Nothobranchius furzeri: one gene and its partner. The protein of the gene in region 2 purifies or fractionates together with the protein of the main gene of each other region. This does not show direct contact. Links are inferred from orthologs where the notes say so. Each region holds a gene or a part of one and is shown on either strand. Other genes may lie near its edges.

Region 1 (10,806 bases), on a different chromosome or scaffold from region 2:
CTGCCGTCTGCAAGGATTTTTGAGAAAACTCAAATTGTCTTTACCTTCTGTGTGAAGAAAGGAAATAAATAAATAAAATTCTATATCTGAACCTGAATGGCCACACTGGATTGAGCAGGAATCCTAATCTTTAAATTCAGATTTTAGATCAGCTTTGGCTGCAGTTTTCCCACACAGATTTTCTTCTCCTCCATCTTCACTTCTCTCTCTGACTCCTTCCTCTCTTCCTTCCTCTGCCTCTGTTTCACCATCACTCAGCTCCACACATCTGACGAGATTAGAGGAAGACTGTTGGGTCTCTATTGATTTTTGACACTGTGAGATGACAAGTTTGGTCTCATTTTATCTTGTTTACCTCTGATCTGCTGCAAGCAAAAACAACAAGCACACACACACACACACACACACACACACACACTCTTGTAACTCAGATAGAAAAAATTGACCATTGTTTCCGCCTCATTATATCAAGGTGCATGTGCAGAAATTCACACTCAATATCTTTTATTTCTGGAGAATCTTATTCATTTAGGTCTGTATTTGTTGAAACGCCTGAGGCTGTCCGTTGAGGCACACCACCACGCTGCCATGTCACATTTCAGCAAACGCCAAAACAAAGGAAGCTGAGTCGCAGTGGCGTTTGGAGAAGGTGGCCCCTGCGGACGAAGTGCATGCTGCCTGCAGATGTGGCCTGCAGCTGGGGTGCGGATCACGAACTGACAGAACAAGGAAGCTGCTTCAGATGGAGAGGTGCTGTCTGGGCCACGGTGGCTGAAAAACACCTCAAAGTGTGATTTATTTTCATGGATTAAGGACACAACAACAAAAAAAGGGTTTATTGCAAACCTCTGTGACTTTTACCTGCTTAGGAAGAGCTGACACCGACACAAGACAGATTTACGTGTTTGGTTTTGACTTGATTAACCAGATGTCTCACTTACTTGTTATTTTTCAAGTGGATGTTCACATCTGACTCTCGCCAAACCTTATTAAACAGACTTGAAGCCTTTTATGTCCTTTTAAACCAGCAGAAAACTTCCTTCCTCCCCTGAAGCTATTTATTTAACTTTCAAGTCACTTTTCATTCACTGCCATTGTTTTAGCTGTCCTCCAACCCTGCATATTTCTGGAAGCTTGCTGTTATTTGTATTTTTGTCTCACTGAGGCGTCCCTCAGAAACAGCACGGAACGACGTGTCACAGCTCAACTGAGGGCATCATCTCTCCTTTGTCGTCCATAATTTTAGAGGTTCTTGTCTCTCTGAAGCTCAGATGCTGGGTGAGATCAGACGAGGGAGGGGGATCGGATGCCTTTCCTCTCTGTGTCCGTCATGTGTCACGGCTTCTGTTGGGTTTTGTGTTCTGACTGGCTGAGTTTCCAGCGGTCTCTGTTATCCCTGCTGAAACTCGGCGTCCCTCGGAGGCAGGAGACCCTCTCTCCTCAGCATCCATTTCAGCTTGGCTCAGCGTCGGTGGACTCTGCTCTCACCTTGCTGACACCAGCTCCTCAGCGGACACCGTCTTCCTCTACCTGGGCTCAGCTGGCTGACGGGCAGCTGTCTGGATGGATAAAACAGAACAGAAATGTTCCCTGAGTCACCACCACCTCTGTTCTGACATCTTTACTTCTGCCTCCCATTCCTTATTTTTCTCTCTTTCACCCTTGAACATGTTCAGAGTTAACATCGACACATGACTTTAATTATTCAACCTAAAATCTAGAACTTTGGCTCAAACAAGTGAAATAATAGTCCTTGTTTGATTACCACGAGAAAGCAAAATTCAGTCACAGGGGTCCAAAACAGGCCAGTGGCTGATGAAGACAAATGTGCAAACACATGTTGGCAGAATTGCTTTTTGGTTGAGCGTGATCGGCTACGCTCAGGAGGGCAGAAGCTGGAGTTGTGATTTATTGTTTAGTGCTGTCCCTGGACCCCCGGTGTCTACTGCCTCCCACCACTGTAATTACCATGTGTGTGTCTAATAGAATAGTCCTGCAGCCCACAAAGCATCACCTCAGCTAAGAGGAGACGAATCCCTTCTGAGATAGAAAGTCTTGTTATTCAAGCGACGTGCTCTCCAAAACCATGAACGGAAGAAAAAGATGGGTGGAGAGGAGCTCTGATCATTAGATAAAGGTCAAAAAGAAACATGCAGAAAGGTTAAATGTAGGCAAAACAGAATTCAGGATGCAGACTCTTGTCACCCCACAGCAGGAGGGGAATCATTTGAATTACACTATTTATGAACTGCAGGTAAATATTAGTGATTCTGACATATTTTAAATCAGCATGACCTGCCTTAACTAACTTCTCCTTCTTGTTTTTATTGCAAGTCCAGCATCTTAACGACCAAGTTCTCTAAAGTCTGCTTCCGTAATATTTGGTGTTTTACCCTCCCAGAGTATTTCCTAGTGGGCAAACGGTCCCGCTGTTTTTAGTTCCCTACAAATAAAATAAAGCTTTGAATGATGGGATCCAGTCAATAAAAAGCAGCCAGACAGATGATTTGCTACTTCCTGGTGTTGTTTATGGGATGGGCTTTTTGTTGTTTGCTGCAGTGTGATGAATCATTTTAGTTTGCTGGTATATAACCAGGTTGTGTATGCGTGCCGTGTGTGTGTGTGTGTGTGTGTGTGTGTGTGTGTGTGTGTGCGTGCGTGCGTGCGTGCGTGCGTGCGTGTGTGCATGTGTCTGTGTGTGTGTATGTGCATGTGTATGTATGTGCGTGTGTGTATGTGTGCGCGCGCGTGTGTGTGTGTGTGTGTGTGTGTGTGTGTGTGTGTGTGTGTGTGTGTGTGTGTGTGTGTGTGTGTGTGTGTGTGTGTGTGTGTGTGTGTGTGTGTGTGTGTGTGTGTTTATGTGTATGTGTGTGTATGCGTGCATGCATGTGTGTGTATGTGTGTGTGTGTGTGTGTGTTTGCATCCCCACCTCTCCCAGGTGGTTATTTATATCTGTTTCAGTACATTTTTTCTCATTACACTTCCCATAAGATAACCAGAAACCCTTTTCTTCTTCTATCAGAAGGTTTTTGCTCATTCTGCCCACCCTTAGCCTGATCACCTTTTCCTTGAGAACTCTGAACCGATAATGAGACGTGGCACTGAGCAGCGGTCAGTGTCATTTATGCTGTAATTGGCCTGAGGGTGTAAAGGGCAGCCTCTCATCAAAGAGCACAGAGAACTAAGTGTCTTTACGCTGACAGAGGTGAAAGATGGAAACTCACTGTAGGCAGAAAGCTTCAGGAAATCACCACCTGAGGAGATTTCTTTGTAAAAAAAAAAAATAAACAGAAAGAATAAATGGTGCACAAGTAAGTTATGTATTCAAAGGAATATTAAAATATCAAAAAGCGATGACATTTTAATCTTATTTCAGTAACAACTCAAAGTACCATGTGTTCAAATTAACTCAATCTTGTCAATTAACAATAAAAAAATCTCATTACTTATTAAGACAGAAAAAAATTTGAGTTTTTATTTTCTCCAGATTTGAACCATAAATGTGGCTTCATAAATATTCTAATATTCATCAATTCATCAGTAAAAAAACAAGGATTTTCCAACAGCAAACATCTTCCTCCCTCATTAGGTTCTGCTTGGTGAATGTCACGATCTGCCCCTGCCCTCCTGACTGTGTTCCTCTCCTGCCTTGATTACCCTTATTGTTCCCACCTGTCCCTCATTAACCTGCCCATGTTTCCCTATTAGCCCTCTGTATTTATACCACCGGTTTTGCCCCTGTCCTTTGTCAGATCATTGTTGTTGTTTCAAGTCATCGTTGTGTTGTGTTGTGTTGTGTTGTGTTGTGTTGTGTTGTGTTGTGTTGTGTTGTGTTCCTGCTGTTCCCGTTCTGTAATTAAATTCAGTTTTATTTTTCATCCGTGCCTGGTCTTCTGCCTCCTGAACCCACCAGCACCACACATGGTCCCACCATCTCCACCCTCACAACATGACAGTGAACCGTAAAAAACTACATTTCTGAGATACTTTTCTAGAAGAAAGAGGGAATCTTACCTTCACCCCGTGGAGTTTTAGAGTCTCCAGTCATTCATATTCATTAATTTATTGCTCTGTTTACTTTTACAAATTATTCCCTACTTGCTTGAAGCAAATGCATATAATCTGATGGACCTAAATTCATTTGAATATCTTTTATTTCTCCAAAATATGTGCAGAATTAAAGAGTCGTTGGCAGTTTTTATTTTTTGTTTTGTTTTGTTTTGTTTTGTTTTTTGTCAGCTGACTGGAGGGCTGCATGAATGATTGCAGATACACAAAGCAGGTGTGGTTTTGCTCATGCTGATATCATGGCTCATTGGAGAAATAACCCCTGTCCCCATTGATCCGGGTGACCAGAGGCTGGAATGGTCGGGGCGGAATTTTTCAGTGATTGATTTTTACTACTTATAGGTATGAGTGTCTTAGCGTACAGAGAAATGTGAAAGCAGGATTACCAGGAAATAGGTGTATTGGCTGATGATTCTGGGGCTTATTTTACAAATTAATAAAGGGAAGAAAGAATAGGAATAATAACTTTTTGTTTTTTCATTTGACTAAATATTGAAATGATTTTTGTTAACATTTTTATGATAGTTGTTACTTATATTTAATGCTTGTCATCCAGGTAATTGCCGGTCCATATAATGCTAAACTATGTGGTTCATTTGGTTTTTTAAAAACCTGATATGCTTATTGTGTTGTAGGTGGTTTTGCAGTTTTCTCTTCTTTTATATATTTAATGTATTCAAAGTCACACCTGTATGAATACTGGAGTAATTTTGTTTTGCTTTGTTGTTATGTGTGTGTAGCACTTTCAGTCTATGATTGTGGTCTCTGTGCATTTTATTCCTTGTTATTTATGGATTTTTGTATTTTTATTACACATTTATTTTTTGTCTACCTTGATTATTTTATAACCTGCAGCAATAATGAACACCGTGTAAATTTTTATCTTGGAGATGAATGAAAACATTATTTTCTGTTCAGTTGATCCAGATACATGTTTGCTCATTTGAACAAGAAAACAAACTGCTAAATTAATTTAAAAAGTGGTTTTGCAGCGAATGTAACTGTGGATAAGTGAATAGTAGTTGTGGGTGAAAAGAAAAAGTGCCACCTTTATTGCTCTCATTTATGAATGCCACACTGCTGAACAAATGTCGCCCTCTTGTGGCAAATTTAGGTTGTTTTGTCATTTTGTTTGGGTTCAAATAACATTTGAGCGTACTAAACGCAAGAAAGCAGCTTATTTCCACAGGGGAGTGGAAAAAAATCCTTATTCTTGAAAGCCAGATACTAAAAGATTAGTCACATAAATCCCTTATAGACAGCGTATGTGGCCATCAATCACCTTCATTTGGCAGCGTATTCCTTCTTGAACTCATTTAGTTTTAATATAAAATGTCTGTTGTTTTGGTATTCCGTGTTTGAATGGTTTTATAAATCGTTTAAATTTCATCTTGTTCCCTCTGTATCTTCTTTTTTATTATTATTATTAATTTTTTGTAACTATTGTTATTTTAATGTTTTTATTTTTATTTTTTGTATATTTGATTAATATACCTCCCACCAGAGGGTGTTCCTCTCTTTTAATTTGACATCTTGAAGGGGGTGTGAATGTTTGGATTCGTGTGTTGTTCTTGGAATTTATTATTTTGTTCTTTTCTGTTTTGTTAAATAAAGTTTAAGAATTTCAAAGTTATTTTAACATTTCACCAGCAGGAGGCGCCATTACCCCGTGTTCATGGGAGGTCAGTGATGATTCCGAAATCCGGAAGTTTAGAGTCAACTTGACGATTTTTTTTTTCAGCTGCAACCAAACCGCATGTAGCAGGATTCTGGATGTTCATAAAACAAGCTTTTCTGCTGTTACAGCGTAAGTTAAATATGCCATTATACGCAATAGCATTTTATTTTAATTTCAGAGTCAACGTTTGACGTGATATTTGTTTCATTTTTTGTGTTAGCCTGTTAGCTAACTTGGCTAGGTGCTAGCTTGCTAGTTGTATGTTTTGTTTTGACACTGTGGTCATTTGTGCTGTCGTCGTGCAGCCTGTTGTCCTTTTAGTTGAAATGCCCGGCCGAGGTGGATCCTGGGTCTTTGTTCCAGCCACATTAGTGACCGTGCTGCTGCTGGAAACTGCTGTTCCTGTTCAGGCCAAGGTAAAAACAAACCGACCATTTTATGTCCTGTTAGAGCTTGTTTTTGTATTATTTTGATTTTCAGTGTCAACTCAGTAACTTGTGTTACATTATAACAGATCTACCCTTTATGTTTTCATTGCATATTAGAGCAAAATCATAAATCAGTGCTTGTCAGAGAAAACCTTTATATGTGTGTGATTTTATCTTCAATCTACCACTATATTAAGGTCACATCCTTAAAAACAATGTTGCATCTTGTGCAGTCAAATATGTGCAAAATATCTTAAAATGCATCGTGGATCAATGAGAAGACCCAATCTTTAATTAACTTTTCTTGACTGTTGCAGAACTTTGAGGATGTGCGCTGCAAGTGCATCTGCCCACCCTACAGAAACATTTCTGGACACATCTATAACAAAAATGTCACCCAGAAAGATTGGTAAGGAACTTTATTGCGACAAAGTATCCTTTTAGGAGGGTGAGTTTGAGCAGCCTGCAGGAAGGTATTGTTCTAATTATTTTATATTAAAGGAGTCATCACCTGAAGTTTTCACTTTTCCACTTGAAAAACTGTAAATATAATGATTTCCTAATTATTTTTCACTGGCCGGGAAGCCGATAATTTAACATTTAACACTGATCATTTTTTTACTCTTGGTTTCTTCAACCAGCCCAGGTGCATCCCCTGAGCCCCTTGAGTTCTGGCCTTGATGTTGTCACAAAGGCAGGATGTACAGTACCATATATGGACAACGCAGAGCAACACCGCTATAGCCCGCACTGCTCTGCTTCCCCTCAAATTCAGTCGAGCACCGCCATTACTGAAATCAGGAGAACGGAAAATGTTGAAGTGTGTTTCACATGTGAGCTGCTCAGTTGTTGACTGCAAACTCCACACAAATGTGTTTGTTTTACCAAAATCAGACCAACCCAGCAAACATTAGTCCGACAGCAAGGCTGTGAAATATGTGGAATTCACGGCCAGAAAAGACAACTAGTCGTCGTTAAAAATATAAAAATAATAATTTGTAATTTCAAATATTAAACTTTTATCGCTCTGACGTAATTTCAGCTGTGATCAAGGGTCCAAATGTTTGCTGGGTTTTAACACCATTATTGGTAATAGACATTTTTTTCAGTTAACAAAAGTTGTCGAAGAGAGCTCAGTTAGCAAGACACCCGACTTACACACAGAGAACCCGGGTTCAAATTCAGGCTGGGACATACGAGATTCTGACTCAGATTGCAATTATTTAATTTTTTTAAATATGTTTTTTACTGTAATAAAGTAATAAGATGCTCAAATTTTTATTGTTAGACGTCTAAATGAGATGCGCTGAAAAACGTTGAATTCACTGCCAGAAAACACGGTGGTTTAATTTTTTTAACCATGACGGGACGTCTCGGACTGACGTCGTTTCAACGGTCACGGGAAGCTGGGAAGCTTGTGGATTTCTTTTATTTTTAACAGCGCTGGAGCGTGAGATCGATAGGCGGATTGGTGCAGCGTCTGCAGTGATGCGGGTGTTGTATTGGTCTGTCATGGTGGAGATAGCTGAGCTGGAAGGCAAAGCTCTTGATTTACTGGTTGATCTACGTTCCCACCCTCACCTACGGTCACAAGCTTTGGGTAGTGACCGAAAGAACGAGATCACGGATACAAACAGCCAAAATTAGTTTTCCCCGCAGGGTGTCTGGGCTCTCCCTTAGAGATAAGGTGAGAAGCTCAGTCATCCGGGAGGGACTCAGAGTAGATCTGCTGCTCCTCCACATTGAGAGGAGCCAGTTGAGGTGGCTTGGGCATCTGGTCAGGGTGCCTCCTGGACGCCTCCCTGATGAGGTTTTCCGGGCACGTCCAACTGGGAAGAGACCCAAGACACGCTGGAGAGACTATGTCTCTCGACTGGCCAGGGAACAACTTGAGATTCCCCCGGAAGAGCTGGCTCAAGTAGCTGAAGAGAGGGAAGTCTGGGCATCCCGGCTTAGGCTGCTGCCTCAGTGACCCGACTCCGGCTAAGCAGCTGAAAGTGGATGGCTGTTCCTGAAACTCTCCCCACTACTCTCGATGTCTGTGCTAGCCATTTTAAGCCAGAATGCTTTATAACTTTTGGGGCTATATCAGGCGAAGATGGCATTGAGGATTCATCTAGAATGAGGGGAGATTCCAACACTGAGAAACTTACCTGAAATTCAAACGGTAAGGCAGAATTTATCCGTCACAGGCACTTTATTTTGGAGAGAGATGCTGAAGCGAAACATATGGTGTCAACACCCCTGCTTCCTTCCACCAATCAACTCATTTGCATTATTCTAATGTCCTTTTCATACAGCCAAAATATCGCCTTTGCTCTCGCGAGAAAACGTCCTTTACAAAAAAAAGGGTCAGAAAAGCACTTTTTGATTTTTTTTTTCCAATACAAATTATGTTTATGACCTAATATGACGTAGATACTTGTGATGACTCCTTTAATAAGATAGAATCATTTTTAAATTTTGACCTCATTAATTGTTTTCTTGTTCCAAAGAGATATAATCCAGCCCGACTTTAATCTGTTTATATTCTATAACCGTGATGTGCCCAATGAACGTAACGTTTTCATGTATTTACAGTACGTGCCTCCATGTAGTGGAGCCCATGCCAGTTCCTGGTCATGATGTGGAAGCGTACTGTTTGTTATGTGAATGTAAATATGAGGAGCGGAGCAGCAACACCATTAAGGTACAGCTGACTGTCTCTGAGTTTGGTTGTTTCTGTTTTAGCCCAGTATCCTAAACGTTATTTGTTCTTTATGTTAAATGTTTCAGGTAACCATCATCATTTACCTGTCTGTTGTGGGTGCACTGCTCCTCTACATGCTGTTTCTGCTCCTGGTGGATCCACTGATCCGCAAGCACGACCCGTACACTCAGCCTCTGCACAACGAGGAAGACTCCGAGGTGACCAACCAAAGAAACGGCACATTTCGAGCATCTGGTACATTCCAGTTTTTACAAAGCTGTGGATTGAAACAGTTTTTATGTGTGTGTTTAGGAGATGCGTCCTCGTGCAGAAAGCGGGTCGGCCAGAGGAAACACAGTTCTGGAGCGAGTTGAAGGGGCACAGCAGCGCTGGAAGAAGCAGGTGCAGGAACAGCGCAAGACTGTTTTCGACCGGCACAAGTTGCTAAGTTAGAGCTCTGTTGAAGGCTTTAAGGGTTAAAGGATGCAACCTTCCCAGTTCTGTGCTGTCACACGGTCACCAGCTGAGTTATCACACACCTGGTTGTCACTGATCAGCACCGCTTTGACTGCATTGCTGTTTCCTCACTTTAAAACATTTCACATGTTCGTCTAATTCATTGTCTTATAATTTATAAGGTAACTACTGTAAGCTAAGCCAGCTGAGTGGAGCGTAAACATCTTTTGCACACGCCATTAGTACATTTTCTCAGTCGCTTCTAGGAATGTCAATGCTGCTGCTTCAGATTTAAATTATTTTAGGGTTGTCATCCTTTTTAAAATATTTGTAAATATATATAAAAAAGTGTTGCATGATTAAAGAAGAAGTTGTTTCTACAGATCAGCTTGCTCACAGGATTCTACAGATGTTAGTTTAGTTGTAATTTATTGTTTTTAAACTCAGACTTTTTCATTGTTTGCACTAAGGATCGTTATTTTTTGGGTAGGTTAAATTTCTGTTGCTTCTTTGAAACTGATTGTCCATTTTTCCAGCTCTTTGATGCAAAAATGTATTTTATCAAACCATCACAATCTGTGGTCTTTTGCATGAAATTCTGCATCTGAAGTTTCAGTTTTTACTCCTAATGGAGTTTATTTTTGTCTTTGTTTTGTTTCTTAATTTGATGTAAAATATTTAGAGTTACCGAAACCTTTTTAGATGAGGAAAAAATTCTACCGATGTGTCGCACGGCCGCTCTCAATCATTATAAGATCACATGATGGAATGTTTAATGGAAGAATAAAAATCTATTCCCCCAAGAGATGAAATAAAACAGAATCAGTTCCAGGATGTGGTCATGTTTAGTTTTATTTTCCTCAGGCTGCATATTTATCTTTAGCCTGACTCAACAAAGCTCAGGCTTGGGCTAAGTGTTTAAATAAATGTAAGAAAAAAAAACGTGTATTCATTCTTTCAGATGTTTGGAGACTTCATCTTTAGTACAAGCAATTATTTTATCTGCCACCAGGGGGCGACAGAGTACACCGCCATTAAAATAAACGCCACGATGACGTTACCACTAACATGTCAGAGAGCAGATGTCATCCAACGTGTGTGGTTTGCATAAAACTAATACAAGTAAAAATATTTTTATGTGAATTAATGAACATTTTTTGTTTCCCAGAATTATGTAGCTAATTAAATAAAGTAATTAATAAACATCCTTCCTACGTTATTAAAAGGAAGGAGGTCCCTTTTACTGTTTTGCTGCACCAAACGTGCATCATCTACTGATAATTACAGCATGAGAACATATTGAATGCTTATATTTAATAATTCATGTGTGCAAATGTATGCATGTGAAAGCCAGATTTATCATCAAAGTTTCTCATTTAACAAAATATCCTTCATGCAAACACTTCAATAAGTGTGGAATTCAAATCTTGCTCCCAGGAGAATATTTTCCAAAAGAGCCACATTGTTTACACTTTAGATTTGGTTT
Region 2 (10,359 bases):
AAAGAAACAGATATAATGTGAAGACTGCTGGAGAAACACTCGAGTTGAATGTAAACAACTGACCTGGGAACAGGAGATACAGATCTATAGACAAATTTCATGCTGGCAGATAATGACCATCTTTCTGAATCAGGTCTGTAGTTAAAGCAATCAGATCCACCTAAAGAGGACTCTCACCTCTGGTATTCCTGATCCACATGCATAAGGAGCGAAGGCTCTGACCAGAATGACCGCCAGGAAGGCAAAGAGCAGAGCCCAGAATATGTACATCAGGTAGTTCACGATGTAGGCGAACGCCCCCTGCAGGAAGAACAAACACATCAGAGATATTGATAAACCCCCTGAATCTAGCTGCTTTGTGTTGTAATGGCGCCTGGCAGCCAGCAGAGGGACCCCAAGCTTCGCTGCAGCTACCTCCGAGTTTCCTACAATGAGCTCGGCCCAGCTCTGCCACTGAGGACATCGGTCCCTCTCCTGGAAGGTAGTCTCGTTGGACGTCCAGCAGCAGTGCTCGTGGTTGAACCAGAAGCCGATGAGACAAACCCCACCTTTTAAGTCTGTCAGCCAGTGGGCGGCGATGTCGATGCCGCCGGCGAGGGCGCCTGGAGGAGAGGAGGGAGCGTTCAGGGCGAGGAGCAACACACAGAACTGTAAATGTTATCTTCAGAAGTTAATGTTTCTGCCTGTTCCACAGAAAGTAGAGCAGTAAGTGATGAGTAATCATTGGGTGTAGCAGGTATCTACTGTTCAGGCTCTATGCCTGCTGTTAGACACCCCCAGCTGCTGCTGCAGGAGCTAGAGTCTAAATAGGTCCAGTCTCTGCAGGTTTGAGGAACCTCGTGGGTAGGATTTATCAGGCCACGTCCACACTACTCAGGATAAGTTAGACTCCACGAACATGCTTATTAATGCCGATAGACCAGGAGTGTCCAAAAGTTTCAAGACAAAGGCCTTCGCTCAAAAATAGGCCTAGAATAGATGTACTAATAAAAACCTAGAGATGAAGTGTCTAGCTGCATCGACGGGCTGCTGCGGGACACACAAACAATATGGCCGCCTCACCTTAGCCTAACCTGTTAAATACAATCCAACGGTAGCTCTGAGCCCATTTCCCTACCACAGGTGAAATTAACTGTTAGGAACGGTTCTCCATCTCCTCTGCTGCTTCTGTAATACGATGTATAAAAACCCTGTAAACATGGAGGCTGGTCTGAACGCTGTCCAGAGGTCACATATATGGTGGAACCTGGGGCTTAGCTGTTAAATCACACCACCCTCCATAATCCTCAAACAGACCTAAAACACACACAAGGAAATTATGCCTTCAAAGCATTTGTGAAAGAAAAGCCCTGAGTAGAAGATCTGAACATGTTTGATTTACTCAGACCTAAAAGTACATTTATGATGCCATAAAAGCCAGAATAAGGGCATTCTGCCACCTAGTGGTCTTTGTGGAGATCAGCCAGCAAGGCTGATGGTTCAAAACCCCACCCTGACCCTTGGCGAAGCCACATAAATAACCTAAAACCTGGTATCTATAATGAGGGCATTGGCTTTTGGTACTGCACCATTTTATTCTGTTTATCTTAAATATTTTTTACAATTTATTTAATATGAATTTTTGTTAGAATTTTTTTTACATTATTTTCAATAGATTTTTATTACTTAATAAATTATTTCATTATTAAAATAATTTCAAAAATCAAAATAATTACATAAATTGTAAATTATTTTTAAAAGTATGTTTCTGAGATCCTACAAGCCCAAATTAACTCATTCACTGCCAATGACGACTAAAGTCGTCATTTGCATTTTTTTTACTGTTTGAGCATCAGAACGAGCCCCCGCGTTGAGAGAACAAACATGGCCCTGAAGCCGATCTTCATCCACATACGTCACACGTCACATGATCAGGAAGCAGACCATCCATGTGTTAGGAGATCGTTTTGGGCCGTTCCAGTAAAAAAAGTGAGGCGCGAACCGGAAAAGCGTCTGCCGATCACAATTCAACAACGGATTATGAAAGAACGGATAACGCTCGAAACACACGGATTCTTCCTGATGTAAGAGGTGAGTCTCCTCTTTGTTTTGATTGTTTTGGCATCGACATCATCCTAGCGCACAACGTTCTGTCACTCTTAAAAAACAGTAAAAACGGTTAGAAACGCTGGCAGCGAAGGCCGTTAGAGATCAGGAAACGGCTGGCAGTGAATGAGTTAAGAACCTAAACCTAATAAATGACCAGCTCTTCAGAGGTCAAAACATCTAAAACTCCACATTTGAGAAAACTTAATGGAAAACATTTATAGAGTGTAGGGCTGCTCGATTATGGCAAAAATAATAATCACGATTATGGTGACTGAAATTGAGATCTCGATTATTTAAGACGATTTTTCTATTTATGTTGATTTTATTTGTTTTTATTCAGTCATAAAATTGCTCAAGGCACAATCAGGACAAAAATAAATAAGAAACAAGATGATCACTAAAATAACTCCTGATTCCCAGTATAAAAAGACCAATATACTTATAGCTCATAGTCTATGACCCAAGGGCTATAGACCTTGGTTTAACTCATTTAAGTCTAACCAGTACAGACCCAAATACCAATATCTTGCAAATACTGACAGCAAGAATTATACAGTGGCATTCATAACAAATATATGCAAATAAATTGATGTTCACAAAATGTTGCGTAACATTTATTGAAGTCATGACAAGGTGCTGTAGGAGAGTACACAAGCACCGTGTCCTCTGAGAGATTAGTTATTATTTATCAGCATGAGGAACTTATTTCTACCTTATTTATAAACTATTTATTTACAAGTCCATCAGTTAATGTAATAATTGTCCCAACCACAGCTGCACCCCCCAACCCGGTCTCACAGCAATCAGAGGCAAGATGCACGTGCGTTTAGCGCTCCGCACGTGCATATTTACCCCAAAATTCCACTATCTCCGCTCCGCCCCCGCTTTCCGCTGCCGCTCGCTTCTGAACTCATATTATACTGGTACCCGCTCTACAACGGCTCCGCTCCGGTGCGGAGACCTGAGGTGCGCAAACAGGCATGCGCGGGATTTTCGAGATCTTGCGATACAGTCCGAGCAATAAACGCGGAAGTTAGATCCAAACACCCGTTGTGTGGGAGAAGCATCGGCATGAACAGTTTAATCTGCCCATCATTTGTGTTGAGAGATCAGCAGTGTTTGGATCGACAAAGTGTGACTACTTTGATAGTAGAAACTGTATTTATGGCTCATTTTTGTGCATTTAAAGTTCAACCGCCATTGATAGTTGTTAAAAGTTGTTAAACCTGTGCATATGAAACAAAAAACGCCTTTTGTTATCGATTTATTGTGAAATAACGGAAGTTGTGCTTGCTCCCTTTCCTGTTGGGCGGTTGTGGTTTCTGTCCATTCACTGCGGAGGTGCTCCGGCGTCCGGCAAAAATAGAATCAATCAATCCCATTTTTGCCGGATGGCGGAACGGCGGGCGGCGCACGGCCGCAGTAGTGGAACAGCTCTGATTGATTACAACGGGACCGTTTTTGCTGCGGAGTTCGTGCCGGAGCGGAGCGGAGATAGTGGAATTTTGGGGTCAGGAGCTTGCAGGTACGGCGTGTGTCACTCACTCTGGTTAATACAACAGGGAGCCAGCTCTGAGAGACGATTCTTTAGCGACCGACACATCACTACATCATTCCCTTTCCTAATGTCCTGAAGAACGGTCCGGAGCGCAGGCGGAGTGTTTAGCTAACCTGCAGGAAATGTCGACGACAGTTATCCAGAAAGTAGCTAAGGGTTACCAGAGATGTTTCTGAGGTGTTCGCTAGGTACTTTTAAGATTTAAAAAGTCAAGAAGGGGGTCTGAAAAGCTGTTAGAAATAGCGTCAAAGTCGCTAAGTTGGCAACACTTTGGGAGGAGCGCTTCATTTGCAACTCAGGGCAGCGCAAGTGGGAGGAGCAAATAATCGGCTTGTTTTGTTTTTATAATCGTTCAAAACTCAGATCGTAATTGGGATTAAAATTCGATTAATTGAGCAGCCCTACTTGAGTGTATGTTTTAGTACACAAGTATTTTTGTTCCTGTGTATTTCCAGATTCAATCAGACTTCTGTAGCGGCCTCAAACCAAGACTTTCCAACCAAAGCATCAGCTTACCGACAGGAGGAAGTGTTTCTAACTACCTGCCATGAGTCCCACCAGCAGCATGAGCAGCCATCCCGAGAAGGCGTCGCTGAGGCTGCGCAGCAGGGCCACGGTCGACTGTCTGCTCTTATTGGTGATCTGGGAGGAAAGCATGCAGAGAGCCAGGTCATACAGGGTGGCGATGTGTGCACTCTCATGGTTGATCCTGCATTAAGACTGAATTTATCACCACTTCACCATGATTTAGCTGCATTAAAGTAAAATTATGTAAGAAAAAAATAACTGCTGATTGAGCTAAAAGTTTGTAAAAATATAAACCATCACAGAGAAGATCAGATAGATGTGTATCATGTTATTTTTTTCTTCTTTTCTGGTTTTAATGTCCCCACTCTCGCCGCAGTAACTCATGGATTTCCCTTCCTTTGATCGATGAAGCTGCACCATCACTGCTTTAGCAGCTTCCCTTTCATTAGCATCATCAGAAAAACAAGGAAAAAGCAGGTCTTGGTGCTGGCCAACAGACTTTACTAGTCCAAACGGTGCCGCTCCGGTACCTCTCTATGTCTATCCCGGTCCTTGCTCTTCTCTCTGACCCAGTCGATGGTGTTGAAGTCTTCATACGTGCCCACGCCGGGCAGAGGGTCCTCCAGAAGGTCCACCAGCTTCTTTGGTCCGCCCCCGTTCATACCGGCTCTGCTGCTGCTGCTGTACTCATCGTAACCTCCTGGGAGGGAGAGAAGGAGGGAATCAGGGAGGGGAAGAGAAAGTTAAAGAACCGCTCCTGGTTTTCCATCATCACTTCCTGTAAGGAACGGCTCTACTTGGAACGGGTCTCGACACTTTTTCTCAATGTTTGTATCAGACGAACAACTTCCTTTATGTGTGTTCACTTTGCTCCATGATTATAATTGTTTAGTAGACTTTTATCCAGGCATGTGTAAAGTGTGACCAGAGGGGGGTTGTAATTTTTCAAATTGGGGGAAAAAAACTTTTTATGGCTTGTGAGGGTTTTTCAAATAAGGAAAAAGCTATTTCCACTGCTGTAAACTGTTCTTTAGCAATCTGAAAGTTTGTTGAGGCTCACAATGGCCCAGGAGCCCCGATGAATGGGCAAACACAACCCCCATAACAAAGCTCTACATTAGAAAGACTAGTTTGCCCTGCCCACTCTGTCGGGACATGAACATTAAATGCTGATTGGCCAGCTTACCCTGATGGCTCTATGATGCTGGTAGAAGTCCCACAAACAGGGACTGTTTGGTTTTAGGAATTATCCACCTAAAAGGAGCTCAAACACTGACAGACAACCACTGATCTGTTTTTCTGTCAGAGAGTTTATAGAGGAAGTAGCCACACACACACACACCACAGCACAAAACATGTAAAAAGTGAGTTTAGCATACGACGATTCTTCTAACACCCAAACACATCCAAACTAAATGTACACCAAGCAGAATCCCAAAAAAATGTAGAAAAACGGTGCTTGAAACGAACTTTCTAATATTTAGGTCATTCTTTTCCTGCTGTTTGAACCCAAAAACCATTTCCCCCTGGTGATTTAGATCTCAGAGTGAGTAAATAGGTAGGTAAAAACTTTATTGGTCCAGCAGGAAATGGCCTTAAGGCCAGCTGCAGTCATTCACACGAACAATAAGTTACTAAAACACAATAAAAACACTTATAACAGGAAACAAAACCTCAATCAAAGCAGTTCACAGATCCAATCAGCTGAGTCCCTCATGCGTGGCCAGGGAATCTAACAGTGTGTGGTCCATGGAGCATTGCAGGGACAGCATCCTGCTACTGAACACCCTCCTCCTCTCCAGAAGACCTCATGTAGCACTCTTCTCCTCCTTAAGCCTGAGTCATGCTTCTGCGTCAGGTCGGAGACATGCAACGCCATTATCCGTCCTTGCGGGCCTGCTGGAGGAAGGACGGACGGAGTCGAGCTCTCTTTTCTAAACATCCGTCCGTCGAGACGGACAACGCAAGCTTGTGATTGGTCAGGGCACCGCTGTAGTCTACACCGCCGCCGTTGCGCCCTCAAAAACATAAAGAATGCCGAGGATAACTAGCGGCAGACACGGAGAAGCTTCAAGAATACCTCGCGAAAAAACTCTAAAACACGAATGTTTAATTCCCCCGTGACTGGAGGAGTGAAAAGATGCGCAGAAAGCATTTTATTTGTGGACGGAAATGACAGGAAACGTGGGTTTAGAGGTGGCGAGCGCATGAAAAGGTGGAGGAGGATGAGAGACAAATTTGTCTGTGTTAAAAAGTCTCATATACAAAAAACACAATATAAATACACTATCTTGGACCGATACATGACAGGATACCACAGAACAGCGCTACGCCCTCTGTTGTCATGGTGGAGAATTGCTTTGCAACACTCCCCAAGAGACGGAGGAGCATGAGGGCAAAAAGTCTCCGTCCGTGCATGCGTGTCTCTCCCTTTTGGAGCTGACGGAGAAGCATGACTCGGGCTTTACACAATGCTGCTAGCTAACAGTCTTGGATTTTTAATGTCTTCTTCTAGCAGAGAACAGTGGGCAGTTTGCTGTAGGACTCACCTAAAAGACAAGCTTGATGAGTGTTTTCATTTAGTTTGTATTTTCACGTTTTGTATAACTTGTTATTTTGAATCAGTAAGTGAAGCACACAGCCCTATTTTACAGGTCAGACCGGATGAAAAAGAAACCATATCCTTGTACTCCGTTTAGACAAAAAAAAAAAAAAAAAAAAAAAAACATAACCTGTACCGAACCGTGACCCTCCCACTCCTTGGGTGTACTGTTTCCACCATGGTGGCTACGCAACCATTGATAAAGGGTTTTAGTGAAAAAGTCACTGGAGCAAAGTATTGTTACCTACTATTGTTATAAAAATAGGACTCTCCTCAACAAAACTGCATCGACTAGAATCTGGAGCAAAGACACAATGAAACAGCTGCAGCCCCCTACTGAAGGTGGGGTAGGACATGTTTTTCTGGAGCACAGATTTTGCATTCTGCTTAAAAAGCTCTTCAGACTCAGAAAACTTTATTTGTCCCCAATTGACAATTTAAGCTACAAGTGACCGTGCCATAAATGTTATGAAATCCCTACATAGAAAGAATAGTCACATACCGATGGCTACCAATGAATGAAATTTAGTGAAAAAATTTATAATTTTCCTCGGATATGCACAATCATGGAAAAACCTCAACCAATGTTTGTTAACGTCCTGTTCCCAATGATTGGATTAATATCCATCCATCAAACAGCCCAATGACCACTGAAGGAGCAAAAAGGGCTGCAAACCCACACCATGGTGGCTCAGTTTTGTCTTAATGAGTAAGATGACGTTGGATTTTATGGTTTTTGTTGACCTATCTACTCCGTCCGGCATTCTCTTGTATTCTACAGGTGTGGCTAGGGTATGGTACCTTTAGTTTTTTTCAACAGTGGTACTTTAAAGATACCTGGTTTTTGCCACCTGTACCTGAATGACACTTTTTTGGTAATCTGACATTTTCTTAGTCCGCAATCTTAAGAGAGGTGTTTTGAACAAACAAGCTGCTTCCCTGAGAGAGCTGCCAGCGTCCCCAATCACGTGACTGAGTCACTGGTCACGTCACTGGTCACATGATGCACAACGGCAGGAGGAATGAGATGTGTGGCTTATTAACATAAGTTTATATTGGGAAAGTACCCAAAGTTAGCAAAGATTGTCATTTTTCCAGTACCAGTAACAAATGTTTTCAGATGGTACTAAAGAAGCACAGAGTTTCAGTGCCCATTCCTGGGCGTGACTTGGAAAAGGAAAGGGGTTTTAACCTTTGAATTGTCCATTTTCAAAATGTAGCTTGCTTGAACAGCTTTTGCCGGGAACTCTTACCTTGGGTTCAAATTGGCGGCATCAGTGGTGGCAGAACGGCAGTAGAACGTAGCTGCGTCAAATAAAACCCATTAGTCTATGGGTTGATCCAAACAGGCAGCAGCGCATAGCCAAAGATAAGACTGAGTTTTATGTCTGCTGAGAGCTGCTTCAGAGACACATTCATTTCCACAGTTAACATCGGGCTATACAGGAAATCACACACGGTTTCAGTGTAAAATGTCAAAATAAAAGAATACTGCAGAGAATCTATTTCTTATCTACGTAGACTGTGCTTTTATGCGTGACCCAACAGCTTATTTCCTCCCTGCATCGTTCGAGAAGTGCATCGGTTTGCCTTTCATGGCTTTAACCCTGGCAGTGGAGAGGAACAACATCATTTAGGATATCAAACAGTGATATCAAATGCCATCTTCTTCTGTTTGGTTTAATGGTGGACTGCATAAACAAACCGCGATTTATGAAGTCTCGAGGAATTTTGCGATCATGCAAGTCCAGCAAGGATGGCGGAGAAGTCGTTCTGCGGCTGAGAAGCTCCCCTGACGAGGACTGATGCACCGCAAAGCCTGAGTAAACTGTTCTGCGCCACTGATGTTACCCTACCCTTAAAGGGCGTTATCCATGTTAAACACAGGTCGAAGCCCTTTTATTCAAACAGGTCTAAACTTTATATTTTCATTTAAAAAAAGGAAGATATTTGAGGAAAACAAAGGTACTATTACTGTTCCAACTAGGTACTGAATGAGTCACGTGACTCCAAAACCACATGTTTTTAGGGAAGCCTGACCAGTTCCCTTGATTAGTATTTTTAAACACCTGCTAGTTATCTGAAAACCTGGAAAGATAACCAAAGTAACTTTTGACATTAGATAGTGTTTTTCTAATGTTTTACAGAACATTAAATATGTTCTTTACATGATCACATCCAGTAAGAAGCCATAACCAGGACCCAACAGAAACAGGACAAAAGGTCTGCTTTGCTTGAAGCTCAAAATTGAGTTTTTATAGGAATAAAACAATAATTTGGGACTAGATTAAACCTATATTTCTGTGTCAATGGAAGTCACAATAAAAATGTAAAAGATGGTGGAGGTAACATTCTCTTCAGGTTGTATTGACTCAGAGTTCAAATCAAAGAAAATACTGATGGAAATCCACCAAAAAAAATGTAAAAAGGCAAAGCAATCGCTTTAGCCAAATTTGATCTAGCTGATTTCTAAGAGGAAATGAATCCTAATCCTGTTGCAAAATGTATTGACATTCCAGCAGGTCCAGAAATTCTGGAATTATCAAGCTTTCTGTCACATTCCCTTCATTCAAAACACTGTCAAAGATTGAGCACCACTCCATCCAGGAAGAGGAATGTAGCCAGGCATTAAACACAATAAGAGAGCAAGTTAGAGTGGTTTGGACGGACAAAAGCAAATTACGCAGTCATGCTAGGAATATGTTCTCTAGGGCCTGAAGTGTCTCACCTACATGAAAAAAATTAGTAACGTTCAACAGAATAAAAGGCGAGAGGGCGATTTCATTGGCTTTGGTGTAAAGTTTATAACTTCTATATTACATAACATACTACAGTCTTATAATGAAGCAGTCAGCCGACTGTAAAAAAAAAAACTAAAATCACAACCTGAGTCCAGACCTACAGAAGTGCAACTGAAAGTCTGAGTATGGGTTATGAAAAAGAGAAAAGCAGTTTGTGCAACTTTGGGTTTAAAGTTTGACTTCTGTGACAGTTCTGTAGTTGAACCCATGTGTGGGGTAATGGTCACGTGTTTAATCTGGAGACTAATCTAACCGGTCAGAATCGCCTCCTTGAGTGTGATACAGTACAGATTCTTGAAGACGTTTATTTTTTGGCAAGCTTTTACCTGCCGTATCACAATGTGCCTAAGAGAACACCATTAGAATGAATAAATATTAGGAATTTATCCATTCTAGTCCTAAACAGCATGTAACTTCTGTGTATTATAGTGGACTTTGAAGCAGAATGGTTTAGTTTTGAAGAGCGTAACAATATTCTGATTTGAGGCTTGTGTGACTTCACTGACTCCGTGACAGTAAAACTATGAATACTACAAGTCCAAGTACTGCTCAGAGACTGCCTGAAAGGAGACCAAGTTATTTTGAAATAAACATGGAGAACTATATTGTGTCCACAGTAAAATGGTATGAATGTGACTCCTGTTTAAGGCTTCACTTTAGCAGCTCCTTCAACATGATTCAGATAGTCTAAACACAAGTGAAGCCTTGAGAAGCTACTTCTACATTAGCTAAACACGTTAAAATCAATGCTTCTTAATCAGTTAGTCAATATATTTACTTCA

Evidence for each region.
Region 1: the proteins of clcn5b (region 2) and tmem9 purify together in Homo sapiens (co-immunoprecipitation; 3 studies listed by BioGRID and IntAct, with this or other methods). This does not show direct contact. The link is inferred for Nothobranchius furzeri from reciprocal best matches to the Homo sapiens genes CLCN5 and TMEM9.

The regions. Positions count from the first base shown.
Region 1 is NC_091755.1:26,869,254-26,880,059, forward strand, and holds tmem9 (proton-transporting V-type ATPase complex assembly regulator TMEM9), read left to right. Parts: upstream 1-5,738; 5' UTR 5,739-5,876; intron 5,877-6,052; 5' UTR 6,053-6,073; coding exon 6,074-6,163; intron 6,164-6,492; coding exon 6,493-6,584; intron 6,585-8,755; coding exon 8,756-8,864; intron 8,865-8,950; coding exon 8,951-9,082; intron 9,083-9,176; coding exon 9,177-9,317; 3' UTR 9,318-10,025; downstream 10,026-10,806. UniProt on the Homo sapiens protein: Transmembrane protein that binds to and facilitates the assembly of lysosomal proton-transporting V-type ATPase (v-ATPase), resulting in enhanced lysosomal acidification and trafficking.
Region 2 is NC_091742.1:77,378,883-77,389,241, reverse strand, and holds part of clcn5b (H(+)/Cl(-) exchange transporter 5), read right to left. Parts: intron 4,875-10,359; coding exon 4,705-4,874; intron 4,289-4,704; coding exon 4,189-4,288; intron 603-4,188; coding exon 415-602; intron 301-414; coding exon 178-300; intron 1-177. UniProt on the Homo sapiens protein: Proton-coupled chloride transporter. Functions as antiport system and exchanges chloride ions against protons. Important for normal acidification of the endosome lumen. May play an important role in renal tubular function.